Arabidopsis thaliana: one gene and its partner. The protein of the gene in region 1 interacts with the protein of each later gene in a pairwise test. Each region holds a gene or a part of one and is shown in the gene's direction. Other genes may lie near its edges. The genes, in order: CYTC-2 and AFP3.

Region 1 (12,278 bases):
CGGGTTATCCGTGTGAACCTGAACGGACACAACCGGAATACTGGTTTACGGGTTCAGTAATAGAATAACAAAGATGAAGCAATGTAGAAGCAGATGCGTAGTTAGTTTAATTTACCCAATGACCGGCATCTTCCAAGACATGCATTTCTACACCACCGCCTTCTTCAGAGGCTAGCTCTTCAGCGGCGTGGATTCGCTGAAGGTCTTCTAGGGCCCAACGGTGCAAGCTTCTTTCCGCTTTCAGAAAATTCACATGTACTCCTCTTGGAAGATTCTCAACAAAGTTCCTTTATTTTGTAGAAGCAAGTTTGCGTATAATTAGGTAAGAGCTCATACAAGTTTGTTCCACTAAACACAGGGAGGTTAGAAGATTACCATAGATTTGTCTCTTCGTAAGACTGGTAAAGTTCAGCGATCCCGTCTAGGTCAAATGTCCACGAGAAGCTAGAAGCTGATGGTCCAGTAGGTCTGAGATTGGTAATGACCCACTGCACAAGAAATATGCTCACATACATCAAGATTGTGCAACTCGACAAGTGTCAGCAGAATCAAACATACGGTCTTAAAGCTAGTTAAAATCTGATAGAAACTACTGAGCAAATGGTTATTATTGTACCTGTGCGACATCATTGGAAAACCCTTCATTTATAAGAGCTTTAAGAACCTCGCGCTTTGACAAGACCTTTTAAACCAAACAGAAAAGATGTTCATAAGCTTAAACTGTCTAGATCCTTTGGTTCTTCTGACTTCTAAGAACATGTAGGTGGTTCAAACTGCTTATTGCAATAAATCAATAACACTCTTCTTGTAATGTCCAGCAAAATTCATTCTTGTAATATTTGTACATGCATGTTCAATTAGCTTACCACTTTTGGCAATTTACGTAGAAATGATATAAGCTCTCGTGGATGATCTTCTCCATCTCCTCCTGCACGAACTTTACCAGGAGTAGCATCCAATACCCAAGCCTAAATTGGGTATAATTTAGGGGCCTTAACATAAACCCTACCAACATTGCGATATAGACATCGGATAAACACTTACTCGGACTGGTCGTGGAAGAGGCTTAGCTGCTTGCTCTACCATGCTTAATACAACTACAAAGATCATAGAAAAGACTCATCAGGAATGTTATCACGTCTGAGCAAATAATCTCGATGAAGCAATTTCATATAGACGTCAAGTCACCTTTCCCCCCAAAGCTATGACCAACAAGGACCCGAGGTGTTAACCTCAACTGACCAACCTAAGAATGGCAGAATAGAGAAAAATGGTATCAGAAAAGTCACCTACCATGAATAATCCAGTACTGTGTTGCTTGAGAAAGAAACTTACAAGTTTTAGAACATCAGAAGCAGTAGTAGCAACCGAGTGTGGACCTCTCTTCTTGAGAGATGTTGAATCCCCATGGCAACGCAGGTCTACCAATAGAAACTATGAAGATTGAATTAAGAGGAGAAGATTAGTTATTTGCAAGCCAATAAGTGTGCATCTGGATAAACAAATACCTGCCACGTTGGGAATTCATGAGCCAATCTACGAGCAAAAGTGCCTAGAGTAGCAAGACCCAAGAAGGAAAATAAGGGTATTATGATTAGCTAGAGATCTTTCCACACTATACAGCTAAACCGTAAAGTTTGAACAAAAGAGAAACAAAACTAAAAACACTGAGAAGGCATTAACAATCCCTTTCGAACAATTCAGCGATTCAAAAAGATCGATGATCTTTTTGCTTGCCACTAACAGGCACATGAAGAGATTCAGGAATGACTTTACTGGTTTCATAGTTCCTTTTATAATATTGAAGAAATTAAGTATAAGCCAAACTTGAAGCAATTTACAAGGAACCACACAACACTGACCCCAGTTTTTCCCGCTCCCTAAAATTCCGTGTAGGAGAACAGCAGTAGGTGTATCTGGAACAGATTTGTCATCCTTCCATCTCCATTTCACCTGCGTATGTATAAATCATTTCAGTCCACAATCAATCTGAAAAACAGATAATCTCTCAAACTTATGTTATCAAGTTCAATACTTTTTCCTTCACACACAAAGATTAAACACTCCAGTGAAGAAATATAAAACAGACTGGCTCTCAGATAACTTACAAGTGCTCCTTGAACAAGATCATACGCCTGCAAAACAATGGCACAAGATATAATCAATCATCAAAGTCCATGAATTCACATCAAAATGTGTTCAAGTCTCAAACTTTATGTACCAGGACCCGAGGAGGCTCAGCAACATCTTTGCTCGTTGATTGTCTCTCCTCAACTAATGCCATACGTACAGATGCTCCTTTCACTTTACGAGTTCCATGTACCAATTCCAAACGATGATTACAGAATCTGTCACTCTTCAAGTAGCGTAAAAAGTTAAAGTTAGGAACTTTATACTTGTTGATGCTAGAGAGATTGAAACAGAGAGAAGGAAAATCTCAAAACCTGAGAATTTGTCCCAATTCTGATGAAATTAGGAGAATGGATTGATGTCTTTGATCGAAACCTAAATGCACATCCTCCGCTAGAACTCGCCGTGGAGCACGAGACCGCCGACATTACAACAATTTCAAAATTGGGAAACGACGAATTCGCAATTACAGATCAAAGAAACAGAGATTCACGAGACGGAGATTGATGAAGGAAGTTAAAGAGACGGCGACAATGTGCTTCTTTTCCTCCTCTGTATTTTTTTTTTCTTGGTATCTCCGTCGCCTTTGTTTTTTACTCCGCCGTATGTTTTTGTTTCTGGTGAATCTCAGGTTGAAAACAGAGTGAATGACAGATTTGCCCCTTTTGTCGGCTTTGCACAGACTTGAATCGACCACTTGGTCGGTCCAGAGTTTCTCACCTAACTAAACACCCTCACATCTCTCTTTTTCTTGTATCAAACCTTAAATAATGTTGTAAACGTTATAATTAGGGGTGTTAAACTATATTTTAGTCCCAAAATCTTAATCCTACAAACCTAACTAAACCTAGTAAATAAATTTGATTTGATTTAACTTTTTTAAATTTTTTTCCATGATTATCCCATTAGCCATTTATGCTCGGACTTTCAATGTTAAGCTGACTGATTGTTATCAAAAATTAGTCTCATGAAAAAAGGATAAAAAAGGATTATTATCAAACTGAATAAAGAGATAGTAAAACTAAAATTGATTTGGTTTAACTTTTTAAAAAATTAGATGAGTTTTATTTTTTTGCTAATTTATGTTTATTCTTTATTTATTATTGTATTGTTAATAAAATTAGATCTATAATATGTAATTACAATTTTTATGGTTGAATTCATTTGTAACTCAAAATATCAATTTATATATTTTCATGTATAAAGCTGATTATTTATAAGATTTAATATTTTTTCACTATCATAAATACATATAACAACAATATATGATATTTTGATACAATTTATGTGTAACTATGTTAATTGTATGGTTTAAAATTTGTCTAACTCGATTATAAATAAATTAATTCCTTGTTTTATGTACTGCAACAAATTGTGATAGACTTATGATTAAAGTTTGAATTGACATCAACTGAACAAGATCTCAAGAGTATTCAAATGAAGAAATAAAAATATAGCAAAAATTGAATGTCATTTAAGTCAACACTTTTGAATATTCTATCATTAGAAATATGATCGTGTCTTGGATGATTTGAAAACGGTCTAACTTGAATATATATATATATATATATAAACTATTTTTTTTTTTATGTATTCTTCTAATATAGTATTCCAACAACATTGTTATACACTCATGATTAAATGTATAGAATTGATATAAACTAATAAGATTTCAAGAGTATTCATATGAAAAGAATAAAAAGAAAGCAAAAGTTAAAATATTATTTAAATCAATACTTTTAGATCTTCTATCATTGCATATATATATCCATATAAAAGAAATGATCGTGTATTAAATTATTTGGTAGCTCTAATGTCTTAAAGGTTTAATATTTGAACAAACTTGAATGTCAATGTCATCAAAGACTCAAAATAAAATTATATATATGAAAGTTGGGCAATTAGTACTATAAAGACTATAATTTTAGTCATTATAGAGTAGTAATTATTGATAATAAAAAATTATTAAAATAAAAAGAGTATAATAAAAGTAGTGCTTAATTTTTAACATAATTTTTTATTTATTTATTTATTTTTATTTAGAAAAAATCAATTAAGAGTAGGATTGATGATACAATTAAGTTGCTTATTTAATTTTTAATTTAAAAAATATAAAATGACACATGTCATTTTTCTTGTGTGATGATGTGTCATTCATATGGAGAGAGTTGGCCAACTTCATATATATGATTATAATCGAGAAAAAGAGCCAAAACGAGTTAGGACATCTTCAAAATTACTCTTTATTTTCAAATATGAATTTTTTTTGTACTAGAAAAATAACTTCAAAACTTTAAACTTGACTCCCAAAAATAACTTCTTTTTTTTTTTTTTGCATTTCAGCGCCTACACTTACTTATACATCAAACAAATAAGTTTACTAATCTTATTGTTTATCAATTTAATTCCTAATTTTAGATTTCATAACTATTTCACATATATCCTTATAAATTTAATTTTATACATATAAAATTAAATAAACAAAATAAATTTAAAGTATTAATAGAAAAGAAATCCTACATATTTTTTTTCTTCACATAACAATATTATATTAAACAAATTTAATACAAAATGTAGTAATAAAAGAAATAAAGTTACATGAACACATAAATGTTACAAGAAATAAAATACTACAACAATACAAAGGTCACCAAAGTATTATATATATACAAATTTGATGTGATCGAATGTTTTTTTTTTTTTTTTTGAATTTTGTTTTTGGGTATCATTCTTAGTAGTTCAAACTGAATAAACTCATTAATTTTTATTTTTATTTTGCTAGATTTTGCATATGTTGTTGAGCTATCTCATAGCTCTTTCCCTTAGTTGCTGCACTTTTATTAGTAGATTAAGAATTTATTCATTTGATGAAAACAAAATATTAACATGTGGTTTATTACTTTCGGACAATGTGATGAAATTTAATTCACCCTCATCTCTACTTAAATTGATTTGAAATGAAAACATTTATAGAGATTGTGATGTTAGAGAGTACATATGATGCACAAGTTTATTCAGTGTTTTTGTATTCTATTTGGAAGTTGTGACTTAATTTGTGAGTTTATTATTATTATTTATATGTAATTTTATATTGTAATGTAATGTTTTATTTATTAATCAATTTGCTTATAATATTTATTTAATGTATGTTTTATAGTTATATATATAAGCTTTTATGAACTAAACAATATGATAACTATAATGCAAAATACAAATTATTTTGAAGTTGAATTTGAAGTTTTATCATTGACGAGAACACTTTCAAACTTTAACTATGGAGTTCTGCAACTGACAAAAGTAAAATATCCATGTCTGCTTAAAGAAGTAATTGATTTCATTTCTAAAATCGTGATGATATTCCAATATTTTCGGATCCAAAGATGATACAGATTTTGCAGAAGAAATAAAACGAACTGCCCAAGAGTAAAAGTGGACAAAAAGATAATTAGGAGAAAAATGGTATTTTTGCAAATTTCTCTAAAGTTTTAGAGTTAAATAAGGATTATTAATTTTTCCTTTTTTTTACCTGAAAAATAGTTGAGTCATTGTTAGTTTGTTACTCATTTTACTTATAAAACTTTTAATCATTTTTACTTGAATTACATTTGGATATATCATATATGAAAATAATAATATCTTTGGTGTGTATAAAACTTCTAGAACATGAAAATTTATCAATCGTGAGTTGAATGTTTCACTAAACTTTTTAAACAATTAAAAGAATGACAAATATAGATTTCCATAAATGAAAAAAAAAGAATGGACTTGCATATTTTCATGTGTGTATATATGTATTTTATTTTTAACACTTTTGGCATACCTCTTTAATTAATTGGTTAACTTCTAAATATTACTATTTGAGAAGTGAGTTTACAACGAAATTTGAAAATTAAAGCTGTGAAAATGAAAGTTGGAATGTAAATAAAACCCGTCTTAAAATTACCTTTTACTTTGGGAGATTTGCAAAACTACCTTTTTTGTTTTTTTACTATTTTTCACTAAAAATAATATTTCATTAAATAAAAAACTATATATAGTAGTCAAGAAAATATTTTTGGGTTATAAATATAAAGGTTGTAAAAAATAAAAATAAAAAAAAACAAATATGTGAATTTTAGGCCCGAATATTTACTTTCTGAGCCCATTTGTAAGCCCACTTCCTAAACCGAGTTTTATAAAATAATAAAAAAAAACAGAAATAAATAGTCAACCGACTCAAAATAAACCACTATTTAGACGCCACGTGTACCCAGAACAAAACGTATGGCCTGTGTATCTCTCACGCCACCTCTATTTTTCTTCTGCCTCCTCGAACCTTCTTTTTCTCACTTCTCATAAAAAAGGTCATTTCAAAAAAAAATCAGAAACCGTCAAAAAGCCACCGTTGATATTTCTTCCTTGTTGCTTCTTCAATGGCGTCGTTCGACGAAGCACCTCCCGGAAACCCCAAAGCCGGTGAAAAGATCTTCAGAACCAAGTGCGCTCAGTGTCACACCGTCGAGAAAGGTGCCGGTCACAAACAAGGTCTGTTCCTCTGATTCTCTCTTAGATCCACAATATTCTGTATCATCATCGTTTGATTTTATTTGGTTACGCTTTGTTCGAATCTGGATCTACCACATGCGTTTCGTTTTCTCGTATTGATCTTCGTTTGTGTTTGTTTAGGATCCGTATGTCTTTATTTTGAATTTTGGAATTTTGTTATGAATTCAGGACCGAATTTGAATGGATTGTTTGGAAGACAATCTGGAACAACTCCAGGATATTCTTACTCTGCTGCTAACAAAAGCATGGCTGTGAATTGGGAGGAGAAGACTCTTTACGATTACTTGTTGAATCCTAAGAAGGTATTTGATTGCTCTTTAATCTTTAATGGACTTCGATCATAGAGTCTGGTGATTAAGGTTCTTGATTGTTCATAAGCTAATTTGTGGATTAGTGGTCTTTAGTTTTAGAATATTTGTTGCAAAAGGAATTATGAGTCTTTATACCTTCTTAAGTATTGTTAGGTTGATCTAGAAACACAATTTGTTTGTTCATTTCGGTTTGGTGCAAAAATCTCCATATTTGTGAAATTGGACATCATCTTTCAAAATGGTACACTAATAAGTGCAACATCTCAATGTTGTGCCATTTGTTTTCTATTGCATGTTCAAGAATATCAAGCAATTAGCAACATTTGTTTTGGTTAATACTTGAGTCTTTCCTTCACTCTTGTCTATTGTCTCTTTATTGAGCTGATTTGTGGAATTTTCCACAAATCTTATGATTCATCTTTCACTCTTTAAGCTGGTGCATCATAACCTGTGTGTGCATCATCATCTCAACAGTGTTCCAATTTATTATATTGCATATTCTAGAATATCGAAACATAATATTGTCTGTCAAGAAAATGCTGTTTGGCTAATACTGACTCCTTTCTTCACACTTTTGGGTCGCTTGTTTCTTTTTGAGCAATTATGAAGAGATAAGATCTCAATTTGATTGAATTGGTGTGGAATTTCTTTGCTTGTTACAGTACATCCCTGGAACAAAAATGGTGTTTCCTGGACTGAAAAAACCGCAAGATCGTGCCGATCTCATCGCTTATTTGAAGGAAGGTACTGCTTAGACAGGCTCGTCCAGATATATGAAGCTGGCATTTTTTTTTCTCACAGCTAAATAAAATCAGACCAAAAATATTATGGTCATGAACTGCTTTTTGTATGGTCTTTTATTCTTTCTTTCTTTTTACGTTGTTGAAGAGGCTAGTTGCCTCTTATAAAGTGGAATATTCGTTATTGATGTGAAGAGCTAAGAACCAATTTCCACCACGATAGTCATGAGATTTTCCTAATTCAACTTGCCTACTTTTGTTACGAGTTTAGAATCTTTTTTTCAGTTGTTCATTTTCATTTCAATAATTAGACAAATACGTAAGAGATGCGCATAATTCAGCTAAATCAGTAGAACATAAAAGACAACATAAAGGAAAATCTGACAGTGTTACATTCATTTTGGAAGATAAAGTTGAAGCATTTTGGCATAAAATAAAAATGGTGGATCATTACGAGTTGCCATATGATAAGTGGCATAAAAGATTATTTACCACCTAAGATGCATATATAAAGTGAATTCCTATGCAGCATAGTGGTTCTATAATTAATGCATATTATTAGATTTTATTACCCCACAAGAACATTTGCCACATTTAAGCTTCAAGAACAGCTTTTGGTTCTTTACTTGGAAGCTTGCAGCCTAATGAAGAGTCTTGCAGAGATCTTGGTTTGTCTCTCAAAACTCCTTCCCCAAATACTCGCAAGCAAGATTGACCTGTTTTTTTATTTTTCTTTGTCTAAATATCATTGGGATATCCTACTATATTATTTGGGAAGTACATTTTAAATATAACCTTTGTAAGTAATTACATAAGTATGCCATTAGAAATAAAATTTAAAGAGTAAATTAATTCATCTCTTTAAAAATTTAAGTTAAATACTAATTTAATTAAAAAACGAAATACATTATTAATTTCCAAAAAAGTAACCAATCAAAATCAACAAATTAGATTTGATATCTAAATTTTATATTAATTTTTTATTAATTATTATAGTTCACCTCTCATCTTTATATGATTCTATTTTTGCGAAAAAATAATATCATCGTTATAAAAAAATAATTAGAGTTGCTTCGCATATACCATAATTTGAATTTTTAAAAACGAATATAAACTGTTCAATACATAAAAAATATTATAACGGATCAAAAATAGATTTAAGAAAATTTTCTACTGAGTATTGGGTCATAATTTGAATATTTATATTCAATTTCATACATATTATTTTAAAAATTTTTAATCTTATATACTACAATAATTAATAACATATTAGATTTTTTTTATGTGTATGATGTGATTCAATATTTAATAGAAGCTGGAAAATCCTAGAATTGACGGGTTTAAGGGCTTGATTGGTTCTCCCTTTACCACCCGCAAACGCAGCGTTTGCGATTGGTAGCGATTGTTAGCGATTGACACCAATCATAGAAACCGCTAGACATCGCTTTGGACCGCTCGAAATCGCCCGTTTTCAAAAGCTCCTTCCCGCAAGCGTTTGCGGTTGCGGGCGGTAGCGGTTAGGTTAAAAAAATAATATTTTTTTAATTAAATTAAATAATGGTGGCTTCCACCCAAATTCTAATCACTATAATTAAAATAATCTAATCTTTTATATATCTTATTTTTATCAGAAAACCTTAATCAATATATTGTAACCTTATTATCTCAATTATGGCATTCGATGAAAATCAAAATCAAGAATCAAACATAACTATCATCTATCCTTTTATTCATTCATTAGCTAGTGTAATTCTTTAACTATTTCATAGCATCGTTGTTTATTCATTCAATAGTTTAGTTGTTTTGGATATTTAGGTCCAAATTTAATTGACATATTTAGATTTATAATTATAATCTTAGATAATTAGATAATATTACGATTAAATATAATTAATATTTTGGATGTTAAATTAATGTTTGGGTTTTTGAATACTCTTTTTGGGTAACGGGTAATTTCCGGGCCAATCGGATATCCACGGGTTTACTAAAACTCTACCCAATAAGGAATTTTCAAAACGCTTGATAACGCTTGAAACCGCAACCGCCCGTTTCCGCAAACTCCCGCAACCGCAACCGCACCCGCTGCGTTTAAAACAGTCAGGCCCTAAATCGATATTAATACAAGATGGTATACTACATGTGAAACTCTAAAATTAACAATCAAAATACAAGTGTATAATTTTAAACACTAAATAATATGTTTTTTTAAACACTAAATTTTTTTGAATAAAAAGTAGTTAGTAAAACATATGTTTTTTTTAAAGAGTTTTTAGATAATTAAATCAGAGAATATTGGGCATATGAGTAACCCATTCGAGTTCGGGTAGAACCCGTTCGGGTTTGGGATTAATGGGTATATGATTTACTACCCAATAGAATAATTATAAATATTCGGTTCTGGTTCGGGTCTGATCCAGTTGGGTTTGGGTCAGTTTGGATAAAAAGTTTCAGACCCTAAAAATACCCAAAAAAATAGAAACGGTAAATTTGTATGTAGATAGCGCATCTCCAAACAAAAAAAACTTTTAAATTTGTTAAGTTTTAATAAATTTAATTATATCTGAATATATTTTACTAAATTTTGACAAACATAATAAATAATTTTTGAATAGTTTAGTTGTTTTGGATATTTAGGTCCAAATTTAATTGACATATTTAGATTTATAATTATAATCTTAGATAATTAGATAATATTACGATTAAATATAATTAATATTTTGGATATTAAATTAATGTTTGGGTTTTTGAATACTCTTTTTGGGTAACGGGTAATTTCCGGGCCAATCGGATATCCACGGGTTTACTAAAACTCTATCCAATAAGGAATTTTCCTAAAAATTTAACCCGCCCTAACCCAATTTTTTGGTTCGGGTATTGGGTTGGTTATCGGATCCGTTTTTTCGTCACCCATATCAAAGATAATCTAATATAGGCCTTAATTAGGTCCACAAATATAACAAAAATAGTATACAAAGACTAATTCTAAGTTAGGCCAAAAATTAGATCCTCTAATACAAAGAAAACATGTTTCTTACCAAAACAACTTGTATACAAATTTTACACATTTACTTAAAACTACATATATTATATTTATTATAAAAACAACATTTTTAAACAAAATCAATCCAATGCAACATTATATGCAAATAGTAAAAACAGTAAATAATATTATGGCATAACTTTTATACTATACAATTTCTTATGTAATTCAAACAAAAGTATACAATTTAATTTATACAAAATATTAATGTCCGTGTTGTATAGCACGCGTTATGATCTAGTTTTTGTGTATAAATCAATGTACTATCAGATCCATTTTATAGTAGCTTTGGTGTAATATTGATGATATATATACTACATATTTGAAAGTTAGATTTTTCATATATCGATCAGACTGATTTTACCTTTTCTCTTTGCTATCGCAAAACGGCGGCGTATCAGTAGGCGGTATTCAACAAGTTTGTAATGGCTGCTTCTTTATCCAATTCTTTTATGTATATGGAACGATAATGTGTTCACAATTCGCTTGGGAAATTCAAGATCATTCCAAATTGCACGACCAACAAAAGAAACCAAAAACATGTCTTCGATGGTCAAAACTATGCCAACACGTGTAATTTCTAGCCTTATTGAGACAACACTTTTTGTTAAAACTTTATCTTCTTTTCCTAAACAAAGGATATATTAATTTCTAAGTCGAAATTTTTCGATTAGTACGAGCGTTACATATATGGCTAAGACCAGATTCACCAGAAAGAAAGAGGCTAATAAAACAATCCTCTTGCCTGACTTGTGGGTCACTCATTACCAAATCAGTAGAAGCGGTCGAGCTATTAATCCGATATATTCATAATCTTATATGCATTGATTACGCTTACATATGTCTTCATGTGATTCTGTTGCATTTACTTATCCTTTCATGGCATCTATAACCTCTTGTGTTTGATTTGTGATTTTAAGCTGAATTATATATGATTTTTATTTAGATATGTGATGATACGTTTGTATTTGGAGCTTTTTAGGTTTAATTAGTTTGTAACACAACTCTTGTACTTTTGGGATTGAATGAGTTTCTTATATAACAATCTCTATAGTGTTACTGATCTATATGCTAAGATGTATGAGTATATTAATACTGTATATTGTGAGATTTGCAACATTTTGGAATTTTGGTTTTCGGACAAGTGAGATTTCATCTTGTAGAAAATGTATGATGACACGAGTCTGGATTGTAAAATTTAGTATCATTAGAAGAATCATAAGCTGTAGATTTCATTTCAAATTCGTGTTTATCCACTTATGTGGCAAATTGCTCATATTCGAGCCCTAGCTTATTGCTAATAAGAAAACCATTCAACCTATGAATTATGAGTAACTCGTGTTGTGTGCATTAGTAGTTTACTTTTCATGGACTTTTTTTTATGCATGTCATATTAATCTACTTGCTAAGTTTGAAGTAGGGTTAGAGTTTTTTTAATTTACTTTGCTGTTAAATACCCTACTATTGAAGCTAAAGGGTTTGAGATTTTTCCTATAAATTAGGTATTTTTGC
Region 2 (12,500 bases), on another chromosome or scaffold:
TCTCCAAATGAACACTTCTTTCCATTTGCAAAAAATTGATGCTCTGACAATAACCGCATCACTATTGTCAAATGCTCCCTGCTCCTCCATCGATTTACGATACACTAAGATATCATCAAAGAATACAAGGACGAATTTCCTGAGATATGGTCGAAACAAGTCATTCATAGAAGCTTGAAATGTTGCTGGAGCGTTTGTTAACCCAAAAGGCATCACTAAAAATTCATAGTGCACATCATGAGTATGAAAAGCAGTCTTTGCCACATCCTCTGCTCTCATTCGTATCTGATGATAACCCACTCTTACATCCAACTTCGAGAACACCACAACTCTTCTTAATTCATCCAATAACTGGTCTATCATAGGTATGGGAAACTTTTCAGGCACAGTTACACGGTTCAATGCCTTGTAATCAACACAAAAACGCCAGCTTTTATCCTTCTTCTTAACTAATAACACTGGACTAGAAAAGGGACTCTGACTTAGTCTGATAATACCAGAATCCAACATCTCTTGTACCACTGTCTCCATTATCTCTTTTTGTGCATGAGGATATTTATAAGGCCTGACACTAATTGCATTATTCCCTGGTGAGATAATAATTGAGTATTTTCTTCCTCTCAGTGGTGGTAATCCTGAAGGAATCTCAAACACCTGCTCATATTCTCGCAAAACTTCCCGCAGTTCTCTAGGTAACAGTTGTTCTCCCAGTTGTAACAATTGCTGATTACACAGCTCCACTTCAATTCTTTTGGTATTCAATGTAAATCCACTAGAGAGTGATTTACATTGAATACCAGTGCCAATTTCTCTGCATCATTATAGCCATCAGTACGAAAGAATCGCTCCACCCTAGCGATCCAAGAGTAAATCCCAACTCCTTCAAACACAGCCATCTCCACGTTCTTGAGTAGGTTTTCTCTAATTCCTGGCCTAATGTCACTATTGTATGGTTCCGGGACAGAGATGATTATGTCGATCTTGCGATCTTGTAACTCCACCATGACTAGACCCTCCAGTCTCTGGCGCCGACGCTACTCTAGGCAAAGCGCGAAGCACATTGTTAATCTTCTTCCCGATATCCAACAATTGTTGGTCATGACGTGCAATTTGAGCACTCAATTTGACTCGTACAGACTCCAACTTTGAATCTGGTCTTGAATCAGATCTTCGAATCTTGTTACTCATGTCCGTCAATTGTTCGTGAACTTCAGTTAACGACGCCGTCGTTTGCTCTGCCTCTAATATCTCCGTAATCGACGGTAATTCTGGTGTCGTCACCATCTTTGATTGAAAAATTTCTTCGATCTCTCAAAAACCCCACATCACTCAAACCCTAACTTTTTCCAGCGATACTTCGATCTCGATCACGAACGCACCAATTGATAGAAACAAGATGTAATCTTTATTAACAAACAAATAATCGATATAAATTGTTTCAGAGAAGAGCTCTAGAACATCTCTAGATCATCACTCTATCTCTCACAAATGACACATAATTCAAATGCACAACAAAACAAAACATGAAAACTTCTTCTGAAAGCTACAAAGTTTATATACAAATGTTTATTCGCACGTGTCTTCTTCTTGTTTTCTTCTCTTCACACGTGCGGCTTGGATCTTCTTGTGTACACTTGATATGGGTTATCATAAAACTTGTTTAGAAGTTGTTGAAAAGCAAAGGTATAAGTCTAGGGTGCTAGCTAAGGGCTTTTCACAACTGGACAGTGAGTTAGAGCAGATGAATTATATCAGTGTATCTAAGGCTCACACAAGTAAATGACCGAAAATTCTTAAGAGGGATGTAGTACCTGGTATGAAGTTCCAGCATTGTTGTGAGCTTCCCAACATCCACTGAAGTAGAGCAGAGCAGCGGCCCTGGTAACTTCAATAGTCTCATAAAATAGGACAATCAAGCTGAGTTATTTTTGTGAGAAGTACTCAAGTGTCAGAATTGAGTTTGGTCAAAAGGTGGAGATTGTTATTTGGGTTTGACTAAACACATCATTTGGGCCTTTGTGGGCCTGACGAAAATGGCATGAAGAGAAAGAAGAACAAAAGTGGTACATTACATATCACATATATAATATCTTTATTACAACTTACAAAGAGAAGTTGTGGTAGTTGTGTGACAAGACAAGCTAAAGAGAGTTCTAGAGAAGAGAGATAAAAAGCTTCCAAAGCAAGCTTTCTTCTTCCTCTTTGTTGTTCTTGAATCTTGTTCTTCTTGTGTTTAAAATCTGAAAAAGAACCAAGGACATCACAAGTTAGTAGTGTGTGTAACCTCTTTGATATAGTTAAGCTTGGAAGCAAGAGTCCTTCCCCGAGACGTAGCGGTTAGCCGTGAACTCAGTTATCAAATTTTTGTGTTTGTTTCTGTTACAAGATATTATTATTCTTAATTTTCTCTACAGATTGGATTGATCGCCGAGATAATGATACCTTACGTATAAAAGATGTAATTGTTAGATTGGAACAAAATATTGCATATCGAAACTTCTATACAAAGTATCAAATTCTTGTCATACTAATTAGTGATTTTCAAGGGGAACTGCCAAATTTTTGTTAACATATACCTAACGGGTCACAAGTGGACATAAAAAACTTTCTTATTGGTTTTAATGTTAAAAGACTTAAACAGCTTACACAACGATATCATGTTTTGGGCGTCAAAGTTTAAACACATTGATTGATTCATGTTAAGTGAATCAATGTACCAGCACATGTCATAGCAAAGGGGTCCTTTACTCCTTTTGAGTTTCTCTTTTGATTCAAATTTGTATTCATTTACCAGATTGGTTAACTTTAGTGGGTACAGCCCAACTTAATGAAATTAAAAGAAACCATAAACAGCCCAACAAGAAGGAAATAAAGTGAAACAAATCAAATATTAATGTGACACAAATTTAATGTAGTAAAACTAAAAACTAATTTATTAGTAATATAAAACTGGTATAACTTGTTTAAATACTAAGACGCAAATATTAAATTACACGTAACAAAAAGATTACAATTCAAATGATATCATAATTGATTAGTTCAATACCCATTATAAACACTCATTTTCTTTATCTGAATAAAAAATCGTTTTTTTCCTCTACACTTTCTAATTTGGTTGATTGTTTTGCTTATCTGTTGTGAAACAATGTCAACGTGTCAAACACCCACAGGAATGACGTCGATAGACCGAAACAATAAAGTTTGGGGTTAAAAAGAGTTAAATCTCTGTGAGGTCCACCATCTGATCTCTTGTCTGATTTCTTGCGTGTTTCTTTCTCTGCAGATTCTCTTCTTTCGTAAATTATTTTTCTTTTTGTTGTTGTCAATTTTCATACGTATCTTTCACATGCTTTGTCTTCCTTTCATTGAATTTATTCAATTTAATTATTTTGGTCTATTTATCTGCATTTATACATGTTGCAATATTTGCGTTTTTATGAGTTTGAACGGAGAGATGGATTGGTCCTAAGATGTCATCATTCGCTAGTTTGATGTAAATTCAACCAAATACGAATTAGTGACGATTTTGTGGTTGAAATTGTTCATAAAATCATTACAACATTAGTGATTTTATTGTTCTGACATCTAAATCAGATCAAATATACAAATGTTATGTGATATTGATTTTCTACTAGTTTTCCATGGCATTTCATTATAAGCTATTAGCAAACAATGTCTTTATTCAAACTGACTTTTAAATATAAAAAAAGTTAGAATTATTACTTGTATATTTTGATGCTTAACTTTTTCTTCAACTCGGAATAATTTAGAGAATGATTGAAGAGTCCGACCTTTCAAAAAACATACAAAAGTAAAAAATAAGTAGTGAAAAGTCCAAGAAAAAAGAAAAAAAAAACTATAAAAGTGTAATTTTTCTAAGAGAATCTATATGAGAATGACTGCATCGTCTTCATTCGAAATCCTAAAAAATGCGGATATCTAGCTCTGTAGATCTTTTATATTTACCATATTTTTTTTGGGACGGTCATCGATAGCCTAAGCACTCAAAGTCTGACGACCCAACGAAAGGTGGTGGGCTAGTGGTTCTAGTCTGGTGGAAGTGGTCCTGTTTGTTTAAGTCAGGGATCGATTCTCTCCATATGTAGAATTGCTTACTTTTATTTTTTTGACTATAAGTATAGACATGCTACTTAAGATCTATTTAAAAACCCGGAAGATATCAAATATATAGGATATAGGATACCCTCTCTCTAGGAATTAATCATGAACCTTTCCATAGGTTCAGAGATTTACCAGAAATTATAAAAAAAAATCAAAGTTTGAACTAACACTTATAAAATATATATTTCTAACCCGAGAAAAAGAGACATTGTCTAAACATGTAAATTTTATTAACAAATAGACGGATAAAGCTAGCAAAGAATTAGAGTGTGACAAAAAAATATTGAAAATATGATTGCTACTAGATATATTAATACTTTATAAAAACTTGTTATAAAAAAATATCCAAAACTATTTGACTTCCTATGATATTAGTTCCAAATAATTTAAATTTTAGATATTTAGATATTTGGTTGTCTGTATAGATATCTTCTTTTTCTGAACTGCAATGGATATATGCATTTATAAATATGATGACCAGAAACTTTTAAATTTGGATAATTGTTACCAATTTGGAAAGACATATCATAAAACAATTTACTTACAATAATAATAATAATAATAATAATCTTGTGGATAAATTATCAAAAATATTTTGCTCTATTTGCTATTTATTTCATGAACTCTTATATTCACTTCCTTTAGTTTTAACCAATCATTATGCCATGGCATATAATAATTTAATATAAATTAAAAGTTAGACAAACAAATAAAATAAATAAATTAAGAATTAATTGTAAAATCTGAATCATATGCCCTTTTTTATAAACTCATAACAACATATAATTTCATTAATTCTAAAATTTAAACTTTAACCACTTTTTATAAAGAGTAAATTTGGAAAAATGCCCTATTTTTGAGTTTTCATTTGAAAAATACCCTATTCTTTCTTCCTTTTTAAACAATTAATTTTTAATATATAAAAATACTAAAATAGCCTCATTAAAATTTAAGAATAACTTTTTAAAAAAATAAACTTAAAACAAAAAAAATTCATAAACTAAAATTTGATGTAACTAATAATTTTAAAGATAATTATTATCTAAGCTGATATATGATTTTATTTAATTTGTAAAAACTATAACGCAAACCACTCTTCTATAAACGTATATAAAATTTTTAGATATTTATATTTATAAATATGACTGCAGAAGTTTTAAGTTTATGATAGTTTTTAAAAAGCAATTATGATAGTTAGTAACAATTTAGAAACACGTATAATTTAATTTCTTTGTTTATTTTTCAAAAATATACAAAAAATTTATGTCAGCGATTTTATTTTATTTTGTATGGTATATGACTAATTTAAAAGTGGTACTAATTAGTATTATAAAAAATTATTAAAAAGTATTTTTAACCTTACGACTCTATTTTTTTACAAGTTACAAATGTTTCATAAAATTTTATTGTTAAAACACTATGATCTAAGATATTGAAACCCACGGTCAAAGTATTGCTAACATGGTCATTACATTGAAAAAGAAAATTAATTGTCTTTACTCATGTTTATTCTATACAAATAAAAATATTAACCAACCATCGCACTAACAAAATAGAAATCTTATTCTAATCACTTAATTGTTGACAATTAAATCATTGAAAAATACACTTAAATGTCAAATATTCGTTTTGCATACTTTTCAATTTAAATACATTTAAAGTTCGACAAGTTGCGTTTACTATCATAGAAAACTAAATCTCCTACCAAAGCGAAATGAAACTACTAAAGCGACAGGCAGGTTACATAACCTAACAAATCTCCACGTGTCAATTACCAAGAGAAAAAAAGAGAAGATAAGCGGAACACGTGGTAGCACAAAAAAGATAATGTGATTTAAATTAAAAAACAAAAACAAAGACACGTGACGACCTGACGCTGCAACATCCCACCTTACAACGTAATAACCACTGAACATAAGACACGTGTACGATCTTGTCTTTGTTTTCTCGATGAAAACCACGTGGGTGCTCAAAGTCCTTGGGTCAGAGTCTTCCATGATTCCACGTGTCGTTAATGCACCAAACAAGGGTACTTTCGGTATTTTGGCTTCCGCAAATTAGACAAAACAGCTTTTTGTTTGATTGATTTTTCTCTTCTCTTTTTCCATCTAAATTCTCTTTGGGCTCTTAATTTCTTTTTGAGTGTTCGTTCGAGATTTGTCGGAGATTTTTTCGGTAAATGTTGAAATTTTGTGGGATTTTTTTTTATTTCTTTATTAAACTTTTTTTTATTGAATTTATAAAAAGGGAAGGTCGTCATTAATCGAAGAAATGGAATCTTCCAAAATTTGATATTTTGCTGTTTTCTTGGGATTTGAATTGCTCTTTATCATCAAGAATCTGTTAAAATTTCTAATCTAAAATCTAAGTTGAGAAAAAGAGAGATCTCTAATTTAACCGGAATTAATATTCTCCGACCGAAGTTATTATGTTGCAGGCTCATGTCGAAGAAACAGAGATTGTCTGAAGAAGATGGAGAGGTAGAGATTGAGTTAGACTTAGGTCTATCTCTAAATGGAAGATTTGGTGTTGACCCACTTGCGAAAACAAGGCTTATGAGGTCTACGTCGGTTCTTGATTTGGTGGTCAACGATAGGTCAGGGCTGAGTAGGACTTGTTCGTTACCCGTGGAGACGGAGGAAGAGTGGAGGAAGAGGAAGGAGTTGCAGAGTTTGAGGAGGCTTGAGGCTAAGAGAAAGAGATCAGAGAAGCAGAGGAAACATAAAGCTTGTGGTGGTGAAGAGAAGGTTGTGGAAGAAGGATCTATTGGTTCTTCTGGTAGTGGTTCCTCTGGTTTGTCTGAAGTTGATACTCTTCTTCCTCCTGTTCAAGGTACATTACCATAGTTTTTGTGATCTTTCATGAGTTTGTTGAATTTGGATTAAGAGATGATTTTTTTTTTTTAAATCTTCAAGATTGAGTTTTGCTTGTTTAGATCTTTGATTATTGATTAGGGTACACGACATTGAATCTTCTTTTGGATGTAGTGATATCAACATATCATTTTACGATTATTAGATTCCCTTAGGATGGATTCATTGTGTGGCATTGTGATTGGTTTGTTGTGTTGTTAGCGTTTTTGAGTCTTTGGCTTTTCGTTTTATTTCGTGTCTTTCACTAGGTATCTTTTAGGTGTCTTAGAGTTCGATTTTTGGCCATTTTAGGTATTGTTAGTGGAAAGAAACAAAGTTTGGTGCGTTGTAGTTACTACATTGTTTGTGTTTCCATTCCAAGGGAAAAAGTATGTTCAAAAATGCACAATGTATCAAGGGATTATCGATAATATTCGAAAGCAAACATTGTATATCTTCTAGGCTTTGCAAAGTTTTTGTTGTCTTTTGTTTAGTGTTTTACTGAAATACTTACTTGTGTTTGAAGCAACAACGAACAAGTCCGTGGAAACAAGCCCTTCAAGTGCCCAATCTCAGCCCGAGAATTTGGGCAAAGAAGCGAGCCAAAACATTATAGAGGACATGCCATTCGTGTCAACAACAGGCGATGGACCGAACGGGAAAAAGATTAATGGGTTTCTGTATCGGTACCGCAAAGGTGAGGAGGTGAGGATTGTCTGTGTGTGTCATGGAAGCTTCCTCTCACCGGCAGAATTCGTTAAGCATGCTGGTGGTGGTGACGTTGCACATCCCTTAAAGCACATCGTTGTAAATCCATCTCCCTTCTTGTGACCCTTTGGGTCTCTTTTGAGGGGTTTGTTGTATCGGAACCATGTTACAAATCCTCATTATCTCCGAGGTGTATAAACATAAATTTATCGAACTCGCAATTTTCAGATTTTGTACTTAAAAGAATGGTTTCATTCGTTGAGATTAATTTTAGACCTTTTTCTTGTACAATGTTTAGTCTTTGAGATAATATACCGGCTTGTCTAATTTAAGTGTGATACATATTAAAGATTGTCACGCTAAGGTTAAATTATTTAAAGAGGATCGTCTTCGTTTCTTATATGTTTTCTATTTTCTGTTGGTGGTGATAACTGTTTTTCTTACATCAACGACGAAGATTTGCCAATACTTGGACACCCTTCAACAGAGCCGGCCCAAGATAAATTCTTCCCTAAAACAAAATTTATTTTTGGCCCATCATTAAATATAATCTACTCTATTATTTGAAACGTACATTTAATGAGGTGGGCATTTCGCAGAAATAACAAGTTTGTCATTGAGTTAAAATTTTTCTATCATGAAAAACCCGTTTAAAAAGACGCGGATCCTTTTGACCCGAATTTTAAAATAACGGGTCATAACTTCTAATCTTAGCCATTCAATTGATTTTTTTTTAGCCGTTGATTTTCTCCAGTAAAGTTTTGAAACCCGACCCGGATGATGAACCGGACTACCTTCTTGGTCACCGGGTCATCGGGTCAACCGGGTTGGACCACGGGTCAATTAGTTAAAATTTATTTAATAAATTTAATATTAATAGAAATTTTAGAGTATTTTATAAATATATATATATATATATTTTTTTAGTATTTATAAATATAAAACAAAATAATCATATCATGTTTAAAAAATATAAAATTATATTATGTTTACCAAAATATAAAATTATTTACACCCAAATATATATATATATATATATATATATAATCAAACAATAATAATAAAGTGATTAAAAATTTTAAATCCAACTAAATGTCTAACACCGTAACAAATATAGTAGGAGATCACCAATGATAGAAATAAACTAATAAAACATCGTGAATTCAAACAACTAATCTCAATTGTCTCTCTCACCATTCGATTCATTTTTAAGGCGGTATTGTAAAGTCTTCACCAAAATCTAAAACATCGAATGAATTTAAGAACTGAAAAAACTTTTAAAAATAATTGAATAAAGTCTAAAATCCCATATTTTACTGCAAAATCAAAAAAAAAAATTAAAACCCACACCCGGCCGGTTCAACCGGTTCACCGGGTCACGGGTTAATTGCGAGTTTTTGAGGGTTTTTTCGGTTTTGAACTTATCGGGTTTTAGCACTAAACCCAAACCGGAAAACTAATTATACTCCTATATCAATACGGATTTATAATATTTATTATATTCTAAAAGATTAATAATCCAATCAGATAATTTTTAAAACATTTCCTAATTAAATATAACAAATCGGTTTTATATATATATAACATTATAAATATCGAATTAATATGTTTGAATTCGAAATTAGCTTAAATATTCTAAATTTATTTAAATAACTAGAAAAACACTTTTAACTAAACTATTTTTTTATGTTTGATAATTAAAATATAAAAATATGTTTAAACATTTTAAAATAAAATGAATTAAATTTTCGGTTTATATTAATTTCTGTTAATTAAATTAATTGAATTCCTTTTTCAGCAACTGAATCATATTAATTGAAAATATTCAATGCGTATATTTCTTTCTTGAATTCGAATATATCACTTCTCCATAATTATAGGTAATCAAATATTTAGTTGGATATTCATTTTTGAATTAGCATAAAGTTTCTGAACAATTTCCATAATTAAATAACTACTTATAAGATAATAGCTAAATAGTTTCCTATAATTATGGGATTCATCATAATTTGTAAACTTGAATTCCACGATTTAATATTTTATGTATATCTTTTACCTAAAAATTTATATCTTATAAATACTGTACGTCCCATTTCAAGAACTCACTCAGCAATTTCTATTTTCTTTTACTCTCTCGCCTCTTTTTTTATTTTAGCAGAAGAGAAAAAGACCATGGAGAAAACTGAGGTTTTGGATCGACGAGACCATGGAGAAAACTGTAACGCCCGTGAACCGGAAAATCGGTTAAGGTTTATTTTTAAATCATCCGATTTAATTGGTTGGGTTAATTGGAAACCCTAGAGTGTGCCTATAAAAGAAGGAAACTCGAAATTAGGGCTTTAGTTAGCCACTTTTCGTTTTATAAAGGAGAAAAAGAGAGAGAAGGAGAAGGAGCAGAATCGTTAGGGTTCGTGAGAAATCGGCTTCGACATTTTCCTATAATTATGGGATTTATCATAATTTGTAAACTTGAATTCCACGATTTAATATTTTATGTATATCTTTTACCTAAAAATTTATATCTTATAAATACTGTACGTCCCATTTCAAGAACTCACTCAGCAATTTCTATTTTCTTTTACTCTCTCGCCTTTTTTATTTTATTTTAGCAGAAGCGAAAAAGACCATGGAGAAAACTGAGGTTTTGGATCGACGAGACCATGGAGAAAACTGTAACGCCCGTGAACCGGAAAATCGGTTAGGGTTTATTTTTAAATCATCCGATTTAATTGGTTGGGTTAATTGGAAACCCTAGAGTGTGCCTATAAAAGAAGGAAACTCGAAATTAGGGCTTTAGTTAGCCACTTTTCGTTTTAGAAAGGAGAAAAAGAGAGAGAAGGAGAAGGAGTAGAATCGTTAGGGTTTGGGAGAAATCGGCTTCGACATTTTCCTATAATTATGGGATTCATCATAATTTGTAAACTTGAATTCCACGATTTAATATTTTATGTATATCTTTTACCTAAAAATTTATATCTTATAAATACTGTACGTCCCATTTCAAGAACTCACTCAGCAATTTCTATTTTCTTTTACTCTCTCGCCTCTTTTTTTTATTTTAGCAGAAGAGAAAAAGACCATGGAGAAAACTGAGGTTTTGGATCGACGAGACCATGGAGAAAACTGTAACGCCCGTGAACCGGAAAATCGGTTAAGGTTTATTTTTAAATCATCCGATTTAATTGGTTGGGTTAATTGGAAACCCTAGAGTGTGCCTATAAAAGAAGGAAACTCGAAATTAGGGCTTTAGTTAGCCAACTTTCGTTTTATAAAGGAGAAAAAGAGAGAGAAGGAGAAGGAGCAGAATCGTTAGGGTTTGGGAGAAATCGGCTTCGATATTTTCCTATAATTATGGGATTCATCATAATTTGTAAACTTGAATTCCACGATTTAATATTTTATGTATATCTTTTACCTAAATATTTATATCTTATAAATACTGTACGTCCCATTTCAAGAACTCACTCAGCAATTTCTATTTTCTTTTACTCTCTCGCCTCTTTTTTTTATTTTAGCAGAAGCGAAAAAGACCATGGAGAAAACTGAGGTTTTGGATCGACGAGACCATGGAGAAAACTGTAACGCCCGTGAACCGGAAAATCGGTTAGGGTTTATTTTTAAATCATCCGATTTAATTGGTTGGGTTAATTGGAAACCCTAGAGTGTGCCTATAAAAGAAGGAAACTCGAAATTAGGGCTTTAGTTAGCCACTTTTCGTTTTATAAAGGAGAAAAAGAGAGAGAAGGAGAAGGAGAAGAATCGTTAGGGTTTGGGAGAAATCGGCTTCGATATTTTCCTATAATTATGGGATTCATCATAATTTGTAAACTTGAATTCCACGATTTAATATTTTATGTATATCTTTTACCTAAATATTTATATCTTATAAATACTGTACGTCCCATTTCAAGAACTCACTCAGCAATTTCTATTTTCTTTTACTCTCTCGCCTCTTTTTTTTATTTTAGCAGAAGCGAAAAAGACCATGGAGAAAACTGAGGTTTTGGATCGACGAGACCATGGAGAAAACTGTAACGCCCGTGAACCGGAAAATCGGTTAGGGTTTATTTTTAAATCATCCGATTTAATTGGTTGGGTTAATTGGAAACCCTAGAGTGTGCCTATAAAAGAAGGAAACTCGAAATTAGGGCTTTAGTTAGCCACTTTTCGTTTTATAAAGGAGAAAAAGAGAGAGAAGGAGAAGGAGTAGAATCGTTAGGGTTTGGGAGAAATTGGCTTTGACATTTTCCTATAATTATGGGATTCATCATAATTTGTAAACTTGAATTCCACGATTTAATATTTTATGTATATCTTTTACCTAAAAATTTATATCTTATAAATACTGTACGTCCCATTTCAAGAACTAACTCAGCAATTTCTATTTTCTTTTACTCTCTCGCCTCTTTTTTTTATTTTAGCAGAAGAGAAAAAGACCATGGAGAAAACTGAGGTTTTGGATCGACGAGACCATGGAGAAAACTGTAACGCCCGTGAACCGGAAAATCGGTTAGGGTTTATTTTTAAATCATCCGATTTAATTGGTTGGGTTAATTGGAAACCCTAGAGTGTGACTATAAAAGAAGGAAACTCGAAATTAGGGCTTTAGTTAGCCACTTTTCGTTTTATAAAGGAGAAAAAGAGAGGGAAGGAGAAGGAGCAGAATCGTTAGGGTTTGGGAGAGATCGGCTTCGTCATATCAAATCGTGGTCAAAGGTAACGAAATTTGGTAGAGTTATTCCCATGTCGTTTATCGTTATGCTCCAGTTTACAGAACTTGTTTCGTGAGACACGTTTTCTCAGACGCGAATTGGGACC

The links.
Region 2: the proteins of CYTC-2 (region 1) and AFP3 interact in a two-hybrid assay, tested with the Arabidopsis thaliana proteins (one large-scale study listed by BioGRID).

Annotation. Positions count from the first base shown.
Region 1 is NC_003075.7:6,270,541-6,282,818, forward strand, and holds CYTC-2 (cytochrome c-2), read left to right. Parts: upstream 1-6,407; 5' UTR 6,408-6,542; coding exon 6,543-6,654; intron 6,655-6,843; coding exon 6,844-6,977; intron 6,978-7,648; coding exon 7,649-7,741; 3' UTR 7,742-8,082; downstream 8,083-12,278. Other genes in the region: AT4G10030 (alpha/beta-Hydrolases superfamily protein), read right to left, coding at 1-18, 116-287, 376-488, 617-682, 867-968, 1,045-1,097, 1,189-1,246, 1,336-1,434 and 5 more. UniProt on the Arabidopsis thaliana protein: Electron carrier protein. The oxidized form of the cytochrome c heme group can accept an electron from the heme group of the cytochrome c1 subunit of cytochrome reductase.
Region 2 is NC_003074.8:11,377,721-11,390,220, reverse strand, and holds AFP3 (ABI five binding protein 3), read left to right. Parts: upstream 1-6,075; 5' UTR 6,076-6,563; coding exon 6,564-6,954; intron 6,955-7,500; coding exon 7,501-7,805; 3' UTR 7,806-8,007; downstream 8,008-12,500. UniProt on the Arabidopsis thaliana protein: Acts as a negative regulator of abscisic acid (ABA) response and stress responses.